Linked DNA regions of Ovis aries. The main gene of each other region encodes a partner of the protein of the gene in region 2 in a complex. Links are inferred from orthologs where the notes say so. Each region holds a gene or a part of one and is shown on either strand. Other genes may lie near its edges.

Region 1 (7,895 bases), on a different chromosome or scaffold from region 2:
GTTCTATCCCTGAGTTGGGAAGATGCCCTGGAGAAGGAAATGGCAACCCACTCCAGTATTCTTGCCTGGAAAATCCTATGGACAGAGCCTGGGGGGCTACAGTCCATATAGCTTCGAAGAGTCGGACACAACTGGGTGACTTCACTTTCACTTTCAGTTAAGAGTGAAGGTGAAAGTTTCTTGGACTTACCTGGTGACTCAGCTGGTAAAGAATCCCCCTGCAACGCTGGAGACTTGGGTTCGATCCCTGGGTTGGGAAGATCCCCTGGAGAAGGGAAAGGCTACTCACTCCAGTATTCTGGCCTGGAGAATTCCATGGACTGTATAGTCCATGGGGTTGCAAAGAATAACTTTTTTTTTTAAGATGTATTTATTTTATTTTTAGCTACACTGGGTCTTTTCTACCCACAGGCTTTCTCTAGTTGAGGCAAGTGGAGGCTATTCTTCATTGCGGTGCACAGGCTTTTCATTGCAGTGGCTTCTCTTGTTGCAGAGCACAGGCTCTAGTGTGTGGACTCAGTAGATGTGGAACATGAGCTTAGTTGCTCTGTGGCATGCGGAATCTTCCTGGGCCAGGGATCGAACCAGTGTCCCTCGCACTGCAAGGCGTATTCTTAACCACTGAACCACCAGGGAAGCCCCAAGAATCACTTTTGAGAGTTTCTTCATTTGGTTACAAGGCACTTGTGTTTATTCCATTTACTGTCTGTTATTTTTTAGTATTTCTATTATATTGTTTATTTTTCTTACTGCTTTTGAGTGATAAGTGCTCTTTGTATTTTGGCTAGTTTATCCACCATTTCTTCCCAGATTATCAGTTCAGTTCAGTTGCTCAGTCATGTCCGACTCTGCGATCCCATGAACTGCAGCACACCAGGCCTCCTTGTCCATCACCAACTCCCAGAGTCCACCCAAACTCATGTTCATTGACTCGGAGATGCCATCTAACCATCTCATCCTCTGTTGTCCCCTTTTTCTCCTGCCCTCAATCTTTTCCAGCCTCAAGGTCTTTTCAAATGAATCGGCTCTTCGTATCAGATGGCCAAAGTATTGGAGTTTCAGCTTCAACATCAGTCCTTCCAATGATCACCCAGGACTGATCTCCTTTAGGATGGACTGGTTGGATCTCCTTGCAGTCCAAGGGACTCTCAAGAGTCTTCTCCAACACCACAGTTCAAAAGCATAATGATGCTACGGCTCTCAGCCTTCTTTATAGTCCAACTCTCACATCCATACATGACTACTGGAAAACCATAGCCTTGACTAGATGGACCTTTGTTGGCAAAGTAATGTCTCTGCTTTTTAATATGCTGTCTAGGTTGGTCATAACTTTCCTTCCAAGGAGTAAGCGTCTTTTAATTTCATGAGTGCAGTCACCATCTGTGGTGATTTTGGAGCCCCCCAAAATAAAAGATTATAATTTGTCCTTTAACCTTATTTAACATCTGTCATAAAGTAGCTTTGCCAGTTTTCTGTCACTCTTTGAGGATTTTAAACATTGTTCAAGAAATAGAGCAACAAAACACGCATGGGCTGGCTACAAAGTGTAACAAAGCTTTAGTCTTACCATTTTGATTCCTGGTCACTTGGAAATGTACTTCAAATCCCAGTTTCAGCACTTTCTAGCTATCTGATCACAATCACAAATTTCTTATTCTCAATGAGTTTCCATTTTCTAGTCTGCAAAGTGGGAATAACAAAACATGAAAGTGAAAGTCGTTCAACGGTGTCCAACTCTTTCTGAACCCATGGACTATACAGTTCATGGAATTCTCCAGGCCAGAATCCTGGACTTGGTAGCCATTCCCTTCTCCAGGGGATCTTCCCAATAAAACTTGCCTTTCAGGAATTTGGGTGACCGTGTAGCTCTGGCTTTTACTGAAGAAGTTCCCTCACCCGGTAATAGTTTCATAAATCAAATCAGTCCAATCAATTTTTTCTTTTAAAAACTGCATTTATTAGGATATTCTAATTAAACAGGAAGCGCTGAAACTCCAATACTTTGGCCACCTGATGCAAAGAACTGACTCACTGGAAAAGACCCTGATACTGGGAAAGATTGAAGGTGGGAGAAGGGGACGACAGAGGATGAGATGGCTGGATGGTATCACCAACTCAATGGACATGAGTTTGAGTAAGCTCCAGGAATTGGTGATGGACAGGGAGGCCTGGCTGCAGTCCATGGGGTCGCAAAGAGTCGGATACGACTGAGCGACTGAACTGAACTGGGGAGGTGAGCGGAAGCATGCAGGACATGAGAACATTTGTGGAGGACTTGGGCTTCCCTGGTGGCTCAGACGGTAAAGAGTCTGCCTGCAGTGCGGGAGACCCAGGTTCCGATTCCTGGGTGGGAAAGATCCCCTAGAGAAGGAAACAACAACCCACTCCAGTATTCTTGCCTGGAAAAATCCCATGGATGGTGGAGCTTGACAGGCCCCACTCCATGGGGTTGCAAAGAGTCAGACACGACTAAGCGACTTCACTTTAGGTACCTAGGAAGGCGCAGTGGATTGAATTAACACCTAATTTGAGAAAATGCTCTGGAAAGTGCATTATTGCAATTTTACGGGAAGCAACTGAGCTCAAGGAACCCAGTTTCCTGCGTCTCTACACGTAAGCGCCTCACCACCAAGCAGTTTCTGCACCTCCGCCAGGAAGCCCTCGGGGTATTTCTACTCCCAGCGTTCCCACTCCAGTTCAGTCAGTTAGACTCGCCGTTAGCCGAGTGGGTGGAAAGGGAGGCGGAACCAAGCAGCCAGACCTCTGGTGCTGCCGGCGCTCTTAAATACAAGCCAGCCTCTCTCCGCTAGGCTTCCTCGCGGTGCCTTTTGGGAGTTGAAGTCAGATGCGCCTCAGCTTGCTCCCGGGTGAGGAAGGACAAGACTCCAGTTCCCAGCATGCCTTGCTGTGGGCGAGTGCAGCGCCGATTCTTATCCTCCCCACTTCTCCACCCCTTCCCTTCTCTTCTGAATCCTCCAATCTGAACTCCAGTCGGTGAAATTCTTCGTCTCTCTCCCATTTTTTCCCTGTCATTTTCCGCCATCCTATTCCTCTTCCAGGGAGGAAGCCTCGTATAAGCGACGGCTTGTGACTCGGAGTGCACGAGAAAGGGGATCGACACGGAGTTACGGTAAGGGTGCAAGGCGAGAAGGGATGGCGAAATATGAGAGAGAGAGTTGAGAGAGAGGCGAGGATTGGGAGGAAAGTAGGGGACAAGTTGGGAGATCGTGCGGTGTAGATCAGGGTGAATGGGGTGAGGGAAGAGGAAAGAAGTGGAACTGGATTTGGGAGACATGGAGGGGAAAAATAGTTACTGCCGTGCTCAGCACGAGGTGGGGCCAAGAAGTAGATGGAAGAACATACGAATTTGGAACTTACAGGCTGATCAGACCAAGAGAGGCAGAAGGGAAAAAGGATTGGGCGCATTAGTGTCTTTGTCACTGCTTAGGTAAAGATGAGACAATTCATTGAAATATCAAGTGTTTTTGCAAATATGGGACAATTGACAATTTTGTTATCTAGAAATTGAGAGAAGACTGGTGTTTAGGTCAGAAGTGAGGTGAGAAGGCAGGAAAAGAGGAGAGGTTGGTCAGGATTGGGAGAAACAAGAGGAGGTGAGTGACATGAAAAAGGAAACCATAGGTGAGTTTTCATGGGGGCCGGTGGATCGGGAATCAGAATTAGAAAGGTGAGGGGTGATGCTGGCATGGCTTGTGGGGGTACACTAACACTTGCATCTCTCAGGTGATGGAGAGCACCCCTTCCAGGGGTGGACTGAATCGAGTACACCTACAATGCAGGAATTTGCAGGAATTCCTAGGAGGCCTGAGCCCTGGTATATTGGATCGATTGTATGGGCACCCTGCCACCTGCCTGGCTGTCTTCAGGTGAGGAACCCCCTTCATGGTAGGGTCCATGGTGGGGAAATGTAATGGGGCCTGCAGATTGAAATAAGTTATTGTGGGTAGAAGCTTAGCCGTGGTGGGCTTGGAGAGTAAAGTGTGTCAGGCAAAGCCATATGGAGGATGTGGCGGCAGCAAGACAGGTAAAAGCGTGGGGGGTGAATGTGAGATGTTTGAGAGGCCATGGATGGCAAGGATGCAGTTCTAAGACAGTTTCTGATGTTAACATTGTCCCTCTGCCCGCTTATAGGGAGCTCCCATCTTTGGCTAAGAACTGGGTGATGCGGATGCTCTTTCTGGAACAGCCTTTGCCACAAGCTGCTGTAGCCCTGTGGGTGAAGAAGGAATTCAGCAAGTGAGTCTCTCCTGCGTTTTTAGCCAGATACAAATTTCTCAACAGCCAGGCTTCCCAAACTGCTGTTCTTGGAACACTTGTAGGAAATATTAATGGGGACACCAACAACTTGTAATTAAACACATTTGGGAAATTCTCATTACTGTAATTTGCCTCTCGGAGAGTTGTGATGTCTGTAACAAGGCTCTGGTAGGTGTTACAGTAAAGAAATTTGCCTTAAGACACTGATCTCACTCTGTGAAATGGTGTTCCGAGGACCACCAGTTTAGAAAAGGCAGAAACTGACACCTTTGTGGGTCTCCTTTCTGTTCCCTAGTTATCTCCCTCACCTCTCTGCTTCTGTTCCAGAGCTCAGGAGGAAAGCACGGGGTTGCTGAGCGGCCTCCGTATCTGGCACACCCAGCTGCTCCCTGGTGGTCTCCAGGGCCTCATCCTCAACCCCATCTTCCGCCAAAACCTCCGCATTGCCCTTCTGGGTGGGTATGTCACTTCCGTCTTTTCCTAAATTAGGTAGGGGACATAGTGATTGAATTGCTGGCCTGGGAGCTCCTGAGGGGCCTCTCTGCAACCTTGCAGGCTCCACTTTTGGAAGCTCCTTTGGGAGTAAGTTGGACCAGATGGAGCTACATGGTGTAGGAAATGTCTCCCACTCATGGTCCCTGGGGATGAGGGTCAACTAAGGGCAGAAGCGTGGGTGGGGAACACAGGTAGGGTTCCTTACTGTTGGCCGTCCTGGCATAGGGGCAAGGCCTGGTCTGATGACACAAGTCAGCTGGGACCAGACAAGCATGCCCGGGACGTCCCCTCACTTGACAAGTACGCCGAGGAGCGATGGGAGGTGAGGACTTGGGCCTCTGTGGGTGTTTCTGCTTGTGTTCCTGCTTCCCACAGCCTTTAAGGCATCCAACTGTGTTCTCTTCCGTTCCTCAGGTGGTCCTGCACTTCATGGTGGGATCCCCCAGTGCAGCCGTCAGCCAGGACTTGGCTCAGCTCCTCAGCCAGGCTGGGCTCATGAAGAGGTGAGGAAGCCGGAGGTACAACAGCTCTGTTTTGCCATGTCCTTGAGTCCCTGCTAAATTGAGTCCACCTTGGGTCAGGATTGGAGAAGGTTGACTGAAAAAGGCGGGCTGAGGGACTTCTCCGGTGGTGCAGTGGCTAAGATTCCACGTTTCCAGTGCAGGGGACCCAGGTTCAATCCCTGGTCAGGGAACTAGATCCCACATGCCGCAACTAAGAGTTTGCATGTCACACAAAGATACTGCTTGCCTCAACAAAGATGGAAGATCCCGCATGCTATGACTAAGACCTGGCATGGCCAAATATTTTTAAAAGGAGAGTAGAGCAGAGTATGGCAAGAGATAAACAAACAACAAAAAAACGTGGGCACACAGGTGGGACGGTGGCCTTTCTCTGCACACCTCTGCCATGAGCCCTGTCTGTCACCAGTGCCGAACCTGGAGAGCCACCCTGCATTACCTCTGCCGGCTTCCAGTTCCTGTTGCTGGACACCCCAGCCCAGCTCTGGTACTTTATGTTGCAGTATCTGCAGACAGCCCAGGTGAGCAGGTCAGGGGTGCCCGCCAGCACTCTCTACTCTTGCCCAGACCCGCTGAGGGACTGCTGCCCGCAGTCTCTGTTCCCTGGTTTTCTCTCATTTCCTCCCTCCCACCTCTCCCCCTTTGTCTCTGCCCATTCCTCCCTAGAGTCGGGGCATGGACCTAGTGGAGATTCTCTCCTTCCTCTTCCAGCTCAGCTTCTCCACTCTGGGCAAGGTAAGTAGGAGGCTTGAGTGGGCAAGATGGGAAGAGAGTAAAGAGATGGGAAGGGGAAATGAGGTAATGGGGCAATACAGTGGAGGATAAGCATGAACAAAGAACAGGAAGAGATGGGAAAAGAGGGAGTGAGTGTATGGGATTGGGAAAGGGAGAATGGGATGTGTTTTGGACCCCAGCTGGCCTCTCCTTTTCCCCAGGATTACTCTGTGGAAGGTATGAGTGATTCTCTGTTGAACTTCCTGCAACATCTGCGTGAGTTTGGGCTTGTTTTCCAGAGGAAGGTATGAGCACCCAGACACATGGCCTCTACCAAAGAGACGGGGTGGGATGGTGCCTTGGCCTTTAAAGGAGAGTGGGGTCTTGGGAGGCAGTCATGAGAAGCAGTTGCCAGGACTGAATACTTATCTCCCTTGAGGGAGAGAAGTTGGGAGCTGAGGTCCTGGGCACCGGGAGGAATCTGATGTTTCAGGAGGAAGACGTAGTGCAGTGAGGCCTGAGAGAGGGCCTGTGGCCTTTCCCTTCTCCTTTTCAGAGGAAATCTCGGCGTTACTACCCCACACGCCTGGCCATCAATCTCTCATCAGGTGTTTCTGGGGCTGGGGGCACCGCACATCAGCCTGGCTTCATTGTTGTGGAAACCAATTACCGACTGTATGCCTACACGGGTGAGGCTGAACAGAGGGCCCCTGGGAGAGCAGGCTGGTGGGGAGGGGAGGAAGAAGGGGAAGGAAGCAGGAGGGACTGCCAGTTTCTAGTCACGTACACTTGTAACTTGGTGGTTTACAGAGCTCTCTGAGGCTTGGGGGAGCCTAGATGTGGGAAGCCTCCTAATCTTCTCTTCCTATCTTCTGGTCAGAGTCGGAGCTGCAGATCGCCCTTATTGCCCTTTTCTCTGAGATGCTCTATCGCTTCCCCAACATGGTGGTGGCACAGGTGACCCGGGAGAGCGTGCAGCAGGCCATTGCCAGTGGCATCACAGCCCAGCAGGTATCCCTGCCTGGGGAAGGTGTGGGTGGAAAGAAAGGCTGCACTTGGGCTGTAGGGTATGGGGTGGTCACCTACCAGAAGGCTAGCATAGGGTCTATTACAGAAGGTGGTGGTGAGTTGTCTACATGTGAACATCAGGTCATGAGAAATCAAGGCTCTCAGTGTGGGGAGAGGTAGACCCTCCTGCAGAAGACTCGTAAGGAGGAGCTATAACTCTGGATTTGTGTCTCAATACCACCACTTCCTAGCTGCACAGTGGTCTAGTTGTTTCTCTTATCTGAGCCTCAGTTTCCTCATCTGGAAAACGGAAATAATGACAGTTCCCCCTTCAGGGCTTCTGATAGATCTCACTTCAGCTATCAGGGCTTCCTTGCTAGCTCAGTTGGTAAAGAATTCACCTGCAATGCAGGAGACCCCAGGGCAATTCCTGGGTTGGGAAGATCCACTGGAGAAGGGATAGGCTATCCACTCCAGTATTCCTGGGCTTCCCTTGTGGTTCAGCTGGTAATGAATCAGCCCTCAGTGTGGGAGACCTGGGTTTGATCCCTGGGTTGGAAAGATGCCCTGGAGAAGGGAAAGGCTACCCACTCCAGTATTCTGGCTTAGAGAATTACATGGACTGAATAGTCTATGGGGTCACAAAGAGTCGGACATGACTGAGCGACTTTCACAAAAGGTTGTTGAACGAAGTCAGTGAAATAGAGGTAAAGCATTTAGTTCAGAGCCTGCCATGCAGTTAGTGCTCAAAAATAATAGTTGCTGTTAATTTAAAGAAAAAAAAAAAAACCTATGGAAAGGGCAAATATGCCAAAGAAGGAGCGGCAGACATCACCAATGGGAGCAACACCTAAGGACAACAGCTAATCTGGGATGTGT
Region 2 (7,332 bases):
TAAGTAAGACCTAGTCTGTGAGCAAGTTTGGTAATTACTGTTAATAATACAGCAGTGTTGTCTTTACTCATTGTGCTCCTCAGGACTCATTTACTAGTTCCAAGTTTGTGTCCTTCAGCAACATCTCTCCTATCCCATCCTTAACCTCTGGAAAACACCACTTTTCTGCTTTTATGAGGTTAGCCTTTCTGCCTTCCACACGTATGTGACAGCATGCACCAGGTGTCTTTCTCTGACTTATTTAGCACAATGCTCTCAAGGTCCATCCACGCTGAAAATGGCAGGATTTCCTTCTTCTCATGGCTTAATAACATCCCACTGCATAACCGACGTGTACTACCTCTTCTCTATCCATTCATCCACTGATGGGCACGTATGCTGTTGCCATCTCTTGGCTGTTGGGAATAATGTTGCAATAAACACGGGAGTGTGCGTATTTCTTTGAACTCCTGTTTTCATTTCCTTTGGGTTTATACACACCCAGAAGTGGGATTTCTAGATCATACAGTAGTTCCATTTTTAACTTTTTGAGGAACCTCATTGGAGAAGGCAATGGCATCCCACTCCAGTACTCTTGCCTGGAAAATCCCATGGGTGAAGGAGCCTGGTGGGCTGCAGTCCATGGGGTTGTCAAGAGTCGGACACGACTGAGTGACTTCACTTTCACTTTCATGCATTGGAGAAGGAAATGGCAACCCACTCTGGTGTTCTTGCCTGGAGAATCCCAGGGACAGGGGAGCCTCGTGGGCTGCTGTCTATGGGGTCGCACAGAGTCGGACACGACTAAAGTGACTCAGCAGCAGCAGCAGTATTGTTTCCCATAAGGGCTGAACCAGTGTATATTCTACCAACAGTGCACAAGAGGTCCCTTTTCTCCACATTCTCACCAACACTTACCTCTTGCCTTTCTTCAGGACAGCCATTCTAACAGGTGTGAGGTGACAGCTCACTGTGGTTTTGATTTCCATTTCCCTGATGAGCAGTGATGCTGAGTATTTTTTCATGTACCTGTTGGCCATTTGCATGTCTTCTTCCAGCCACTCCAGATTTTTCCCCTGCAAACGGTAAGCCAGGCCAAACACCCACCAGTGGCAGCTAGTCATCACTAAGTGAGGAGAAGGATAAACAGAGAAAGCTCTACTTCAGCCTCAGCTCTTAGGGAGGCCCTCCAGGCCAACTAGGAGTAATTGGGCCTCAAAAAAGGAGTCATTTAACCCTATTTATTTCTTATTCCCTATCTGTCCTTATTGATTAGCATTTGCAGTGGTGACAAATGATTGGAACCGCAAACCTCTAACACATAATTCATTAAAAGTTGGTTTGGACTGAAGCAACAGCCCACGCACACATACATGTTGTTAGGACTACATGAGTTGAAAGAAGGTGAAAGCGTTAGTGCTCAGTTTTGTCCCACTTGTTGCAACCCCATTGACTGTAGCCCACCAGGCTCCCTGTCCATGGGATTCTCCAGGCAAAAATACTGGAGTGGGTTGCCATGCCCTTCTCCGGGGAATCTTCCCGATCCAGGGATGGAACTGGGTCTCCCGAATTGCATTTTGTAGGGCTGTTGGGAGGATTACACGAGTCACAGGAGTCAAATGCCTAGCAGAGTGTCTGGCACACAATAAAAGTTCAATAAACAGTTTAAAGTGGAAGCTACAGCATTGAAAAAGTCCTTTTTTAATTTAGACGATTTCCAACAAAATCAGATAGACGCTGTTAATTTTCCTATGATAAACCACCAAAGACTTATACCGTCAGTCTGTCGGGTGTTACATCGTGCTACTGTATAATGAGTGGTGGCACCTGCTCAAAGGAAAGGAAGTAAGAAGAAGAAAGCATGGGAGTACGAGAAGAAAGGTAATGTTACAAAGTGATCTCTGATCCCTCCTCTTACATACTATGAAAAAGATATTAGGCTTAGAAGCATGCACTGAACTGTCAAAAGTGAAAACTGAACCAAAAAGATATTTGGCCTGTCACCTCTTGGACCATCACACAAATGCCAGGGAAAATGGCCAATACGCTGAGACGAAAGGCAAGCTTTCAGCAAGTGAAGTCTGAACAAAGGCAGCTACCTTTCAGCTGGTGCAATAGCTAGTGTATTCCCATCACATCCCACTTGATCCCGGACGCGCATGGAGCTCGAGGAGTCCACTGCAACGCTGCACACCCTACGTGGGTACTTGAAGTGTAACAGGGATTAACAGTTAGCAAGAGGAGCCTGACTTTAAAGGAGAAAATGTAACCGTGTCCTGTGGGTCAGGAAGGGCTGGGTGTCTGGATTCAAGCAGGGGATGCCAAAGACCACTGGTCGCCACTTTGATCGCCTTTTTCCTGGTTTGGGGGTAAGACGAGGGGAGGTGGGGGAGACTCATGGGCTTCTGAGAAGGTATACTCTAGCATTGACTTTATCCCCAAAGGGCAGAATTCTCCTAAAGAGGGACTGGTACTCATGATATTATGTTGGGCAGGAAATGGTTCTATAAAATGGACATTATCTACTTCTCCACACTAATTCTTTAAATGAGAGAGTATTTTAGAGCGTTTGATACATTGCCAGGCACTGTTTCCTCTTATTTTCATTAATATGTACCAATGGTGATGAAAACAGCTTCAAAGAAAATGTGATCACAGACCATCAGGAACAACTGCACCTCTGCTGAAATCCAGGAGAGCCGCTGCTGATTCCATAGAGCTAAACTGGTTTACTTTTTAAAGATGTATCACTTTGGATGCTATTGGTAACATGTGATTTCAAATCTTTCCAATGCCAAGCAACCACAATCTTACTACATTCTGTCAGTTAAAATATCCCCAAGGTGTGTGCACTGGTTGAGTTTAACAATCTCATTGATTACATATGGCCTTCCTGTTGTCTTACGATGGGACATCTTACCAGGTGTATATCCCCCTCATCAGCCTTCCTCTCTCGCCATCTCACAGCGGTTATAAGGGTTTAGGATTTTTGGCTGCCAAAACCGTGTTTATCAGAGCAAGAGAGTCCTGAAATAAAAGAAAAAGGGAGCCCAGGTGGAAGAGAGAATCTCCTTCTTGACCAACAGCTGCATGTTTGTACTAAATAAGAAGGCAATTTCAAAAAATTAATCAGGAATGGCACCAGTCTACCACCTATTCTACCGAATAGATAGTAAGTATTTAAGAGATAGGATACTGTCAGTGTGACAAGGTACAAGGTAACTAAAACAAGCTTAAGAACCAAGTTGGCAGAAAATAACCAAAGCACAGCTTTAGATGAGACGAAGTTGCCCTGGCAACTCTTCCAGCAGCAAGTTCTGGCAGGCGCTGCCACTGCAAAAACAAAAGGCTGGGGTAGAGGAGACACAGGTCTGTTTCAGAGCAGTGTCATACATCCAGAAAGACAGGTTTGGGAGAAGATATATCCTCTGTACAAAGCAAATACCAGGTGCCCAGAACCCTCGGCTATATACAGATATGCTACATCATTACCCATCGGCTTGCTTACACTGAGCCTTAAGTAACTGGGAGTTGAAAGACAGTGGAGGGATGGCCCTGGTGGTCCAGTGGTTACATCTCCAATGCGGGGGGTGTGGGTTCGATCCCTCACTTGGGACCTAAGATCCCACATGCCTTGCAGTCAAAAAACCAAAACATAAAACAGAAGCTATACTATAACAAATTCAATAAAAACTTTAAAAATGGCCCACATCAAAAACAAACAAACAAACAAACACCTAAAAAAAAAGGAAGGTAATGGAGATACAATGTTTGGTTACTGCAGCACAGTAAGGCAGGATAAGACAGCTGGAGGTGGGAGAGGGGATGGGACCACCTTCCTTAGTTTTATTTCACTGGGAATCCCAGGACAAAAAATCTAACGCACTGGTCTCAGCTTCAGCATTCTGCTGCTAAAAAATCAAATAATACAGGAAAATATTTATCTCAGTGGACAGATTATTTCCAGGATTTGTTTTAATTACATAACAAAAAATTTTGGCATTTGCTGCTTCTTGGTTGTAAGCGTACTGAAACAGATGACAAAATTAACAAGTAAAAATAAATTCTTAATTGTGTTTAGTTTGCTAAAGCTTCTTTCATTTTGGTGATCTTATTCATGGATATGCTTTTAGATGGTTTTTCCAGTGGTCATGTATGGATGTGAGAGTTGGACTGTGAAGAAGGCTGAGCACCAAAGAATTGATGCTTTTGAACTGTGGTGTTGGAGAAGACTCTTGAGAGTCCCTTGGACTGCAAGGAGATCCAACCAGTCCATTCTGAAGGAGATCAGCCCTGGGATTTCTTTGGAGGGAATGATGCTGAAGCTGAAACTCCAGTACTTTGGCCACCTCATGCGAAGAGTTGACTCACTGGAAAAGACTCTGATGCTGGGAAGGATTGGGGGCAGGAGGAGAAGGGGACGACAGAGGATGAGATGGCTGGATGGCATCACGGACTTGATGGACGTGAGTCAGAGTGAACTCCGGGAGTTGGTGCTGGACAGGGAGGCCTGGCGTGCTGCAATTCAGGGGGTCGCAAAGAGTCGGACACGACTGAGCAACTGAATTGAACTGAACTGAATATATAACATTTTGTGCTATGTAATACCATGGACAGGTATTGTTTTTATTTAAAACTAATTAAAAAGAAAGACAAAAGAAACACTTTCATTCCCCAGGAGCTGACATTAACCTGTTTGTCTGTACACATCAACCTTACCCCTACAACCCTCCTTTAGGTGGTAAACAGCCTTTGTCACAAACTAGTCAATATAGGCTTGCTGAGTGTGCAGTAAACATCTTTGAGAAGCTTACGATGGGGGATGTATATCCCGAACTGGAAAAGCATTTAACTTCTAATTATTTTAAAAGAAGAAGAGAGGAAAGAAACAGCAACTGCCCACGACTTTTTCCAGTTCTCAGGTCACTGTCACTAGGGTAAAGTAAGCTAATGATGAAAACTGCTATCTCGAAAAAGAAACAAAACAAACTGCTACCTTAGTACACACCCAAATGCTATACTTTCATTAATATGTGCAAATATGAAACACAACCACCTGTTTAAAAAAAAAAAAAAAAAGGACAGCCTTGCTCTGTGACAATTTCAGAAGAAGGAACTTTTCTTTAGTTCCTTTTCAGAATTTCTGGAGTTGCCTACTTTTTTTTCCTGCTGTGCCAATCACTTTGGATCTATATCACTTCAACTCTTCACGCAAAGATGGGGAGTGCTCATTTAGAAAACATTTCCTAATTTTACATTTGAAAGTTAATATTTAAAAAGAAAAACCTTTCAACGCCCCACCCCATCATGAATAATCTGGTTTAATACAAGTATATAAAGGTGTTCTTTTTCCTCAAAAATCATTTAAGCAACTTTACAAGAATTATTGTTTAAAAAATTTACCTAGAGAAATTAAAGTACCAGTCATTTCCCCCCTATAACAGATAGTGCTCAAGGATTCACACATCAGGGCTGTCTGCTCAGCTCATCATCCTTTAGTTCTGTTAGGCGGGCTTCCAATCTTCTTAATCACTTTTTTCTTCTACTTGATAATGTCTGTATTCTGGCTTCAGTTCCCATGTGTTTTTGTGGATCCCTTTAACATTTTGAACACCAATTTCCTTTAAGATGTCCTTCAGGTATGACTGAAAAACAGAACCAAAATAACCTTGACAGATGAGATAAAGAAGGCAGGAAACAAAAATATAAAATAAAATGATATATCAAACTACATTTACAAGTAACAAAAATTATGATTCCGAAAGCCCCATTAGATTTCTCTATAATGAATTTCAATAAACTGCCTTTTTGATTATTTGCATACAATACATGATAACTGCACTAAATATGATTATTTGCATTACAGGGCTTAGAAGTCCTGAATGCCAGCAGCCTTGAGAGCTTAAAAAAAAAAAAGAAGGAAAGAGAGTTTAGAAGGAAATACATTTGTTGGTACTTAATTTATAAGTATACCAAGTGTAATGAGCCCCCGAGTTCTGTGATATCACTGAGTTCACAGTCAGACAGGATTATTCTTGGATAGGAAACAGTCATTTTAGAAGCAGGAGCATATGTTATTTTTCTATGAAGCAAGCACATGACAGACACCCAGAATTCTCAGTTCTAAGGTGAGTTCTCAAATTTGCTATTGGGCCACTTGCTTTTCTTGTATAATAAGGCAAGTCGTTATGTATGTTTAATATTGTTTGTATCACATGGCCAAGGTTGCCTAGACAGAGGAAGGTAGAATAAGATATGTTAAAAACCCTGACGGCTGCAGTTTTCCTGGGCTTAGGTCCACCAAAGGATAGGGGTGAGAAATGACGGAGGTCAGAACTCTGGATCATGGTATTTCAGGCACCTGAAAATTCAGGTATTACCCAAATGATCACTAGAGGCATGAAAATGATGGCTATGAAAAATGTAGTACCAAACCCCATCTTTGCTTGCCAATGCCCAAGGTGAAAAAGCATTTCACTATAAACCAATACAGATTACCGTACTTCCTTCTTGGGGAAGAGAGAAAAGTTACATGTTTAAAATGAACCCCGCCCCCCCCACTATACAACCAATGAGCCAAACAAGAATTTTTGTGTGCATGCTTCATAGAACCAGTTACAGGTACATTACAGGGACTCATCCCACTGACGGAAGATGTAATAGGATGTAAATTTTTTAATTCATGGGAACGAGGCACTAATTTTTAAAGAGGCGGAGAATGGCTTGATAGTGTTGAAGGCGGTGCCTTTCTAAGTGTGATGCTAGATTACCTGCACCAGAACTTCATGGGGGCCTGTGAACTGAACCCCACTGTAGGGCGAGTCAATTAAACCTCTGGCGCCAAGCATGGGAAACTGCAATTCACAAGCCCCCTGGAGCCTGACTGAACTGAAGTCCACAGCAACTGCTCAAAACTTCTTCTGGCTCTAATGCTCTGGGATCTTGGGGTCCTTGCAGTGTTATTTAGGTTTCTGACCCTCACTGCTGCTGGAGAGTGTGTGTTAACCGACACCACTGAATACCACCTTACACTGATGGGTGTACTGCTTCACAGTCTCAACTTTTATTTAGGGGTCCCTGGTTAGCACTGGAACTACATACAGGTCTCTCAAATGGCCCAGACGGCTCAGCTCTCGCTTGAGTGGCTTTCCCCACCCCAGCAGGTGGCAGCAATGAATCGGCGGAGGCCTGGGTTTCCCCAGGAGGAGGCCTGCCTGCCTGCCTGCCTGCCTGCCTGTCTGCCTGCCTGCCTGCCTCCCACGCCTTCTGTAGCTGGCTCCAAGGAGGGACCCATGTAAATGAGTCAGCGAGTTACTGAAGTAGGCTTCAGATAATCAGGTAATATGCACGCCT
Region 3 (7,332 bases), on a different chromosome or scaffold from region 2:
ATTTGTTTTTCCTATTAAACGTGGACTATAAACTTCATACTGAGACATTTACATCTTCTATGATTTTTAGTATTAAACACCAAGAGACATTTTTACTAGGAAACAGTAACCAGCTAGATGTTTGGAAGGTGCCTGTATTTGGTGATTGCCAGGGAGAAAGAATGTTTTGATCTTAGCCAAAAAAAATAGTTTTCAACTTATGTGGCAGATTGCTGAAGGATAAATATACTCTGTGACAAGTCCTTGCATTTAACGTTTCTTACAGAATAAAATGTTGTTTGATTTTTACATTTTAATTGATTATAGGTACTTTAACTATGGTGAGATGATGTTTTGTTTTTCCACTATTTGATATCAAGTGATCTTTCCCAGGTATTGTGAATGTGATAATACTTAATATCATAGTGAGTTTAGTAAGATGACTTCTTATACATCAGTCATGGTAGTTATTATTTAGTCACTGTGTCTGACTCTTTTGTGATTCCATGGACTATAGCCTGCCAGGTTCCTTCTGTACATGAGATTTCCCAGGCAAGAATACTGGAGTGGGTTGCCATTTCTTCTCCAGAGTATCTTTTTGATCAAGGGAAGGAACCGACATCTCTTGCATTGGCAGGCGAATTCTTTACAACTGAGTCTGGGAATTCAGGGAACCCCATCATAGTAGTAGATACCATAAATGAGAACTATTCAAAATAATAACTATTCATAAATAAGAACTATAGTTTAGGTGTTTAAAGGGTGGCATTCTAATGAGGTACTGTTCTGATGATTTGGGGAAAAGTAGCTATGGTTCAGCTTCCTGGGAGGATGAAACTTGTCCTTAGTTTTTAAAAGATTTTTAATTGTAAATTGTCCATAAAAACCGTTGTTTACTTTACAGCTAGTGCCTTCCATGTGTCTCTTACATACCAATGGCTGACCCAAATGGTTGTGAGAAATTTCTTTCCTGTTAGCTCACAGTCTCTACTGAAGGAAGTTACCTTCACCATTCTATAAATATTTATTTACTTTTATTTATTTATTTGGCTGTACCAGGTCTTAGTTGTGGCAGGCAGGAATTTTTACTTTGGCCCACGAACTCTTAGTTGTGGCATGTGGGACCTAGTATCCTGATGGGGGATCAAAACTAGCCCCCTGCATTGGGAGCATGGAGTCTTAGCCACTGGACCACCAAGGACGTGTCTGCCTCCATCATTCTTGAAGCTGTACCTTATATACGGGTGATTATTACTCTGTTCTCTGCCATAGAGAACTTCTGATATTGGTAGCGATGGGTGACTGAATCAGGGTGGGACCCAAAGCCAGCCAATCTGTAGGCTGGCCAGCAACCTGTGAGATGATCTCCTGATGTGGAAACGGGAAGCTGATGGTTTGTTGGGCTATGCATGGTGCTCAGAAAGTTGGTGTGAGATGAGGGAGCTAGTTAATAAGCAAAAGGGGCTAGAAGCTAGGTCCAGCTATGCAGCTCTTCTTGTGTGGTGGTAAGCGGAAAGAGTCTTCTTGCAAATAATAAGTTGTTTCTTTTTGAGCCTCTGTCCTTCATTAGGGCTTTCACTGTTTGATTTTTGTGTCTATACCACTAGCTCTGATCTCTCAACCTTGCTCCATTTTTAATGATCAGTCATTTGCTGAGTATTTTCACTTAAATGACTTTGCCTCATATTACCTTTAACATATACAGAATAGGATAATCTTTAACCTAAAATTGAAATTCTTAACATGCTGTATTTTAGTCATTGACATCATCATCTTTTTTCTTATTAAAATTAAAGTTCTTATTTTTCTTTTTTTTTCCATGCTTTTTTTTTGTTATATAAGTTTCAGGTGTACAGCATTATAGTTCAACATCTGAATATACCACAGAGGGATCAACGCCACAGTCTAGTTATCATCCATCATTTGTATCACCTTACATTTTACCCCCATCACCCATTTCACCTATAAAGCTAACCACCTTCTCTCTCTGGTAACCTCTTTTCTGTTCTCTATGTCTGTGAGTTTTTTTTGTTTTGTTTGTCTGTTGTTTTGGGTTTGGGTTTTTTCCCTTTGTTTTTAAGATTCCATGTATGAGTGAAATCATGTGCTATCTGATTTTCTCCTGTTTATTTCTCTTAATAGTCTCATGGCCCATCCCTGTTAATGTTTTTCTCTTTGACTATACATTTTCTTTAGTTTCAAGAAATGTTTCAGAGAGGTTGGATAAAGTTTATAAGGGATATTTATAAGTTAGGGCTTCCTTATAGTTCTTACGTTGTGTTTTAGTAATTCTACCCACAGGTATAAGTCTCATTTCCACAGACTTAACAATAAGTTCGACAAAGAAAGTGTTCCTAGTCTCATCGCCTTTTTAGATACATGATAGTATTTTATATAGTGATGGGTACAGAGTGATTTCTATTTTATGATTAATATTTGTTGAATTTAATGATAGTGAAAATGGGGAAATATGCTAGAAAACATTAGTGAGTTGTAACTGATTGTAAACTCATATTTTCCCAGTTCCTATTTTGATGAGAAAGGTTTGGTGAGACAACAGCTGGATTCTTTTGATGAGTTTATTCAGATGTCTGTTCAAAGAATTGTGGAAGATGCTCCACCTATAGACCTACAAGCTGAAGCTCAGCATGCTAGTGGAGAAGTTGAAGAACCGGTAAGATGGTTATTTTAATAAAGTAACATAAATAAGGGTATTGATTTGAAATTTCAGTCCTTTTCTCACCTGGCTTAAAGGTTAAAAAAGAAAGGTGTACTTTCTGTAGTGTACTTTCAACAGTTTCTATCAGCTCCTGATTTAGTCTTACTAGTGGAGAGATGCATTTTTGCGAGTAATGCAGAACTGTTAATTCCTATTCAGATAGTAGGTATTTAATAGTCAGGAAGAAGAATCTCAAGAGATATGATGAGCTACTGAGAGAAGCAAGCCAGAAATAGTCATATTACTTCAGAAAATCCTCCTTTTGTCTTTCCAAGTATAAGTAATAGAAAGAAAAAGTAGGTGAAGAACCTCTGCCTTGATTATTTGTTGCATGAAATACATTGTTATATCAATATAAGAGGTAAGGGGAAATCACCCAAATATATCAGCTCTTTTAATTTTTCTAAATTAGTTTGTAGTCTTTTTTTTTTTTAAACATGTGCATGTTTTCAGCATTGTTAAAATCATAGCAGGGCTATCATTTTAGAATCTAGTTTTGAGTGATTGTAAAGAAGTGTGTATGTAGTCGAAAACAATGACTGTCCCTAGTTTTTTTTCCTTAATTTATTTATTTTTAATTGGAGGATAATCGCTTTACAATGTTGTTGGTTTCTGCCATACAGCAACATAAATCAGCCATAGGTATACATATTTCCCTCCCTCATGAACTTTCTTCCCACCCCAGTTTTTTTTTTTTAAGTACTATTTATTGCTGCATGGTTTGGGGGAATCTCAATTTCCCCCACCAGGGATCAAACCTAGGCCATGGCAGCAAAAGCCCAGAATCCTAGCCACTGAGCCACCAGGGAATTCCATGTTCCTAGTTTTTGAGTAGAGAGGCAGCTTGATCGGTCTTGAGGGACAGGGAAAACTAAAAACCAAAATGAGGTAGAAAAGAAGTAGAAGTAGACAGAGGGAAAGATTATTATTTCCTGCCAGATCAGTCCCTCTTTTCCGTAGCTTATCTCATAAGTGCTGGTGTATTATTCTCATTTTAGGTGGAGCTACTGCATAGACTTTGCTCTTGAGAACAAAAATAATTGACTCTTCAGGCACTGTGTTGGAAAAATGGGTATAAAATGTCTTTGTTTTTTTTTAATGTATGGCATTTTTTTCTATATGGTCTTTTCAAAACGAGAGACAACAATATAGCATATTCAGAGTTCCAAAATAAATACTATGGAAGGAAGAGATCTCGTAAGCTTTGGTATCAGAGCTTAGTGAAAAAGATGGGAGGGACTTAAGCTGACTGTAAAGGGCATTTGTCTTAGTAGAGAAAAGATATTTAATCATTTCAGCAAGAGATACTTCATGAATTTGGCTTGTGGTTGGAATGGAGGGACCACCGTAGTCAGTGTATTGTTTTTGACTTGATCTCTTTTTGATAGTGGAAGATAAGATGGAACTAGGTTGTCACATGCTTGGATGTCATTGGCTGTCATGGGAAATTGTGGAAAGACTGTCAAAGAATGTATTAAAGTGTTATTTAAAAAGGTTGCTTTGGAAATGGTGTTTACTTGGAATGGTAAGAGACTGGAGTCAGATACAAATTTTGAAATAGCTTAAGTTTCAGATAATAATGTCCTAAACTAAGGTGATAGTGGAAATAAGTAGTTGGATGGCTGGATTCCTTTTGTTTCATTATCAACAGTAGTTCTTTTTGCTCTTTGCCTACTCCAGCTTGGGAAACTTGGGTATTCACAATTTTCCTTTAGTGATCTGCGTAGTTCCATCTTTTCCTTTTCTGAGGTTTGATTTAGAGAGAAATTCCGTATCCATTTAACTCTGGAAAGTTCTCTTGGATCTTGTTTTATTGGGTAGCAGATATTTAATTGAAAATTTTTCTTTCTCTCTTTTTTTTTTTTTAACTGTGAAATAAGCTATAGTCAGCCATGGTTGGAAATTCTCATTTCTTTATGTAGAATAGTAATTAGGATTTTCTGTTGTTGTTTCTTTTTTATTCCTCTTTGCACACAGTATTGAAAGAAGGTGGCTATCATACTGATTCCATACATCTCTTACACAGAAATGCCCCCTCAAGGATTCCCAGTTATCTGCCCATGGGAATTGGCAGTTAGTGAATGGGGCAGAATGCTAAGTTTTGGGAAGGTTTCTTGAGACATTTTTGTGGGAAGTTTTGGGTCAGAAGGAGAGATGAAACCCAGCAATGAACGTTCCATCCTTCATCTTCCTGGGGAAATTCTAATCCCAAAGGTTTTCTGAAGAAAGGCATCTCTTTCAGTGACCTCGGGATGGGTGGTGCCTGGATTAGGTTGGGGCAGAAGAGGACAGTGTTAAGCAGCAGAGTTCACAGACCCAAGGCAGAGAATTGAAATGCCTGTTGGGGAGAGAAGAGAGAAGGGGACTAAGAGAGCCTAGAGGTCCAAGTCCTAAATTCCACCCTGTCTCCAGTTCTGAGCAGAAACTCTTCTTCCCAAGACTCAAGTAGAGTTTTAATTCAGGGACTGTCTTTTCTCTAGGGCACAGAGAGGACAAGTCAGGTGGAGATCTGATGGTAGTGAAGGTGGAGAGTTAAGGTATCAGACACAGAGATGGACATTCCTACAACAAACACAGACCACAGCAGTTTTGAAGCTATGAGCCAGGATCAGGGTAAAAAGAAAATTCAGCTGTGTTGAAATACAGAATTTTATAGACCCTCTTCGATAAAATTTAAATCACTGTTTCCATGCTGTCGCTTCCTATGTTCCCAGTATTTTTTTCAAGACTAGAGGTCTGGGCAGTAAGAAGAAATAGGGGAAAATACTGAGACTTGAAATGCCACTCCCCACCCCCACTTATTCTATACAAAAGAATTCTCTCTCCCTCCCCTTGCTGTTGGGATGAAGGCTGTGTAAAGGCAAAAGGAGGAAAACCCTCAGCACGTTCCTTCTCCTGCTTTGAAGTGTAGTTGCACCACAGGGCACAGAAGCACAGAAGTAGAGGAGAAAATATAGGCTGTAGAAGAGCGTGGGAGCACGATCCAGTCAAAGAAGGAGGGTGCTTCCCCTGCCCTGTGTCCGATGTGCTCAGAGCTTTCCTTCCAGTACTGACAGAGAGGAGTGAGAAGGAAGGGCAAGCGTGTACAGGTTGGGGTGAGCATGGGGCACCTACAGACAAGATGGAGTCTCAATCTCTGTGACCTCAAGATGATCCTGCAAGCATCACTTGGGGGACTGGATGAGAAGTCACCCAGGAGCTCTTCTTGGATTTTTTGAGGAAGTGAAGAGCCGGCTCAACATTGAGCAAACTGAGATCACGGCATCCGGTCCCATCACTTCATGGCAAATAAATGGGGAAACAGTGGAAACAGTGGCTGACTTTATTTTTCTGGGCTCCAAAATCACCGCAGATGGTGACTGCAGCCATGAAATTAAAAGACGTTTACTCCTTGGAAGAAAAGTTATGACCAACCTAGACAGTATATTAAAAAGCAGAGACATTACTTTGCCAACAAAGGTCCATCTAGTCAAGGCTGTGGTTTTTCCAGTGGTCATGTATGGATGTGTGAGTTGGATTATAAAGAAAGCTGAGCGCTGAAGAATTGATGCTTTTGAACTGTGGTGTTGGAGAAGACTCTTGAGGGTCCCTTGGACTGCAAGGAGATCCAACCCATCCATCCTAAAGGTGATCAGTCCTGGGTGTTCATTTATTGAAAGGGCTGATGTTGAAGCTGAAACTCCAATACTTTGGCCACCTCATGCAAAGAGCTGACTCATTGGAAAAGACCCTGATGCTGGGAAAGATTGAGGGCAGGAGGAGAAGGGGACAACGGAGGATGAGATGGTTGGATGGCATCACCGACTCGACGGACATGGGTTTGGGTGGACTCCAGGAGTTGGTGATGGACAGGGAGGCCTGGCATGCTGCAGTTCATAGGGTTGCAAAGAGTTGGACGTGACTGAACTGAACTGACTGAAAAGCCAGGAATGGTGGTCTTCACTGGAGTGACTGCTGGATCTTTTCTTTGGCTGACTGCAGCACCTGATATTTGATCTGCTCCTTACTGCCACCGGGAGTACAACTTTATGGGAATTACTGTCTCGGATCACCCCTGCATCTGTGATTTCTTCCATAGCCGAGAAGAATATTCACCAGTAGAGCTTGCTTTTCTACATTTTCCCTCAGCATCTGTCTTGATTAGTTGAAGAAGCAGTTCAAAACAGCCATGAACTTCAGTTCATTTTTATAGGAGCTGCCAATCATACAGAAATAGAGATTGATACAGCTTTTGTATACTACTTCCAGGCTTTCTAAAAGGGCAGCTTCACTGTCAATCCTAAGGGTCTTGTTGAAAATATTCTTCTCAAAGGCCTTTTGCTTCTTGATGCTGGTATAGGTGTCATTGTATGTGGCAAAAATTTGATCTCCTTCATTGTCCAGAATAAGGATGGCTTTGACCAGTATACAGGAAGAGTTCCAAAATCAGCGCTTCCATTTTGCCCTGCGACTGGTGCTGGCATCTTCTGTTATGTTTAATTGAAGAGTTAGGTTTACTTTTTCCCATGTCCTGTTGATTAGTTTAGAACACCTTTCTAATTGTATGAATGTATCTTTTCTTTGTTTTCTGGTAACTTTGTTAACTTAACCTCAGCTAAGGAGAGGGCACATGAAACAGCTGTACAGATCGTTAA

Evidence for each region.
Region 1: GTF2F2 (region 2) and GTF2H4 share a complex: the UniProt entries of both Homo sapiens proteins name them as parts of the TBP-based Pol II pre-initiation complex. The link is inferred for Ovis aries from reciprocal best matches to the Homo sapiens genes GTF2F2 and GTF2H4.
Region 3: GTF2F2 (region 2) and POLR2B share a complex: the UniProt entries of both Homo sapiens proteins name them as parts of the TBP-based Pol II pre-initiation complex. The link is inferred for Ovis aries from reciprocal best matches to the Homo sapiens genes GTF2F2 and POLR2B.

What each region holds. Positions count from the first base shown.
Region 1 is NC_056073.1:27,277,127-27,285,021, reverse strand, and holds the start of GTF2H4 (general transcription factor IIH subunit 4), read left to right. Parts: upstream 1-2,961; 5' UTR 2,962-3,130; intron 3,131-3,744; 5' UTR 3,745-3,747; coding exon 3,748-3,887; intron 3,888-4,152; coding exon 4,153-4,257; intron 4,258-4,605; coding exon 4,606-4,737; intron 4,738-4,998; coding exon 4,999-5,095; intron 5,096-5,187; coding exon 5,188-5,276; intron 5,277-5,703; coding exon 5,704-5,815; intron 5,816-5,960; coding exon 5,961-6,029; intron 6,030-6,229; coding exon 6,230-6,313; intron 6,314-6,564; coding exon 6,565-6,697; intron 6,698-6,888; coding exon 6,889-7,019; intron 7,020-7,895. UniProt on the Homo sapiens protein: Component of the general transcription and DNA repair factor IIH (TFIIH) core complex, which is involved in general and transcription-coupled nucleotide excision repair (NER) of damaged DNA and, when complexed to CAK, in RNA transcription by RNA polymerase II.
Region 2 is NC_056063.1:15,789,535-15,796,866, reverse strand, and holds the end of GTF2F2 (general transcription factor IIF subunit 2), read right to left. Parts: intron 5,625-7,332; coding exon 5,505-5,624; 3' UTR 1,658-5,504; downstream 1-1,657. UniProt on the Homo sapiens protein: TFIIF is a general transcription initiation factor that binds to RNA polymerase II and helps to recruit it to the initiation complex in collaboration with TFIIB.
Region 3 is NC_056059.1:73,102,211-73,109,542, forward strand, and holds part of POLR2B (DNA-directed RNA polymerase II subunit RPB2), read left to right. Parts: intron 1-2,502; coding exon 2,503-2,653; intron 2,654-6,365; exon of another isoform or gene 6,366-7,136; intron 7,137-7,332. UniProt on the Homo sapiens protein: Catalytic core component of RNA polymerase II (Pol II), a DNA-dependent RNA polymerase which synthesizes mRNA precursors and many functional non-coding RNAs using the four ribonucleoside triphosphates as substrates.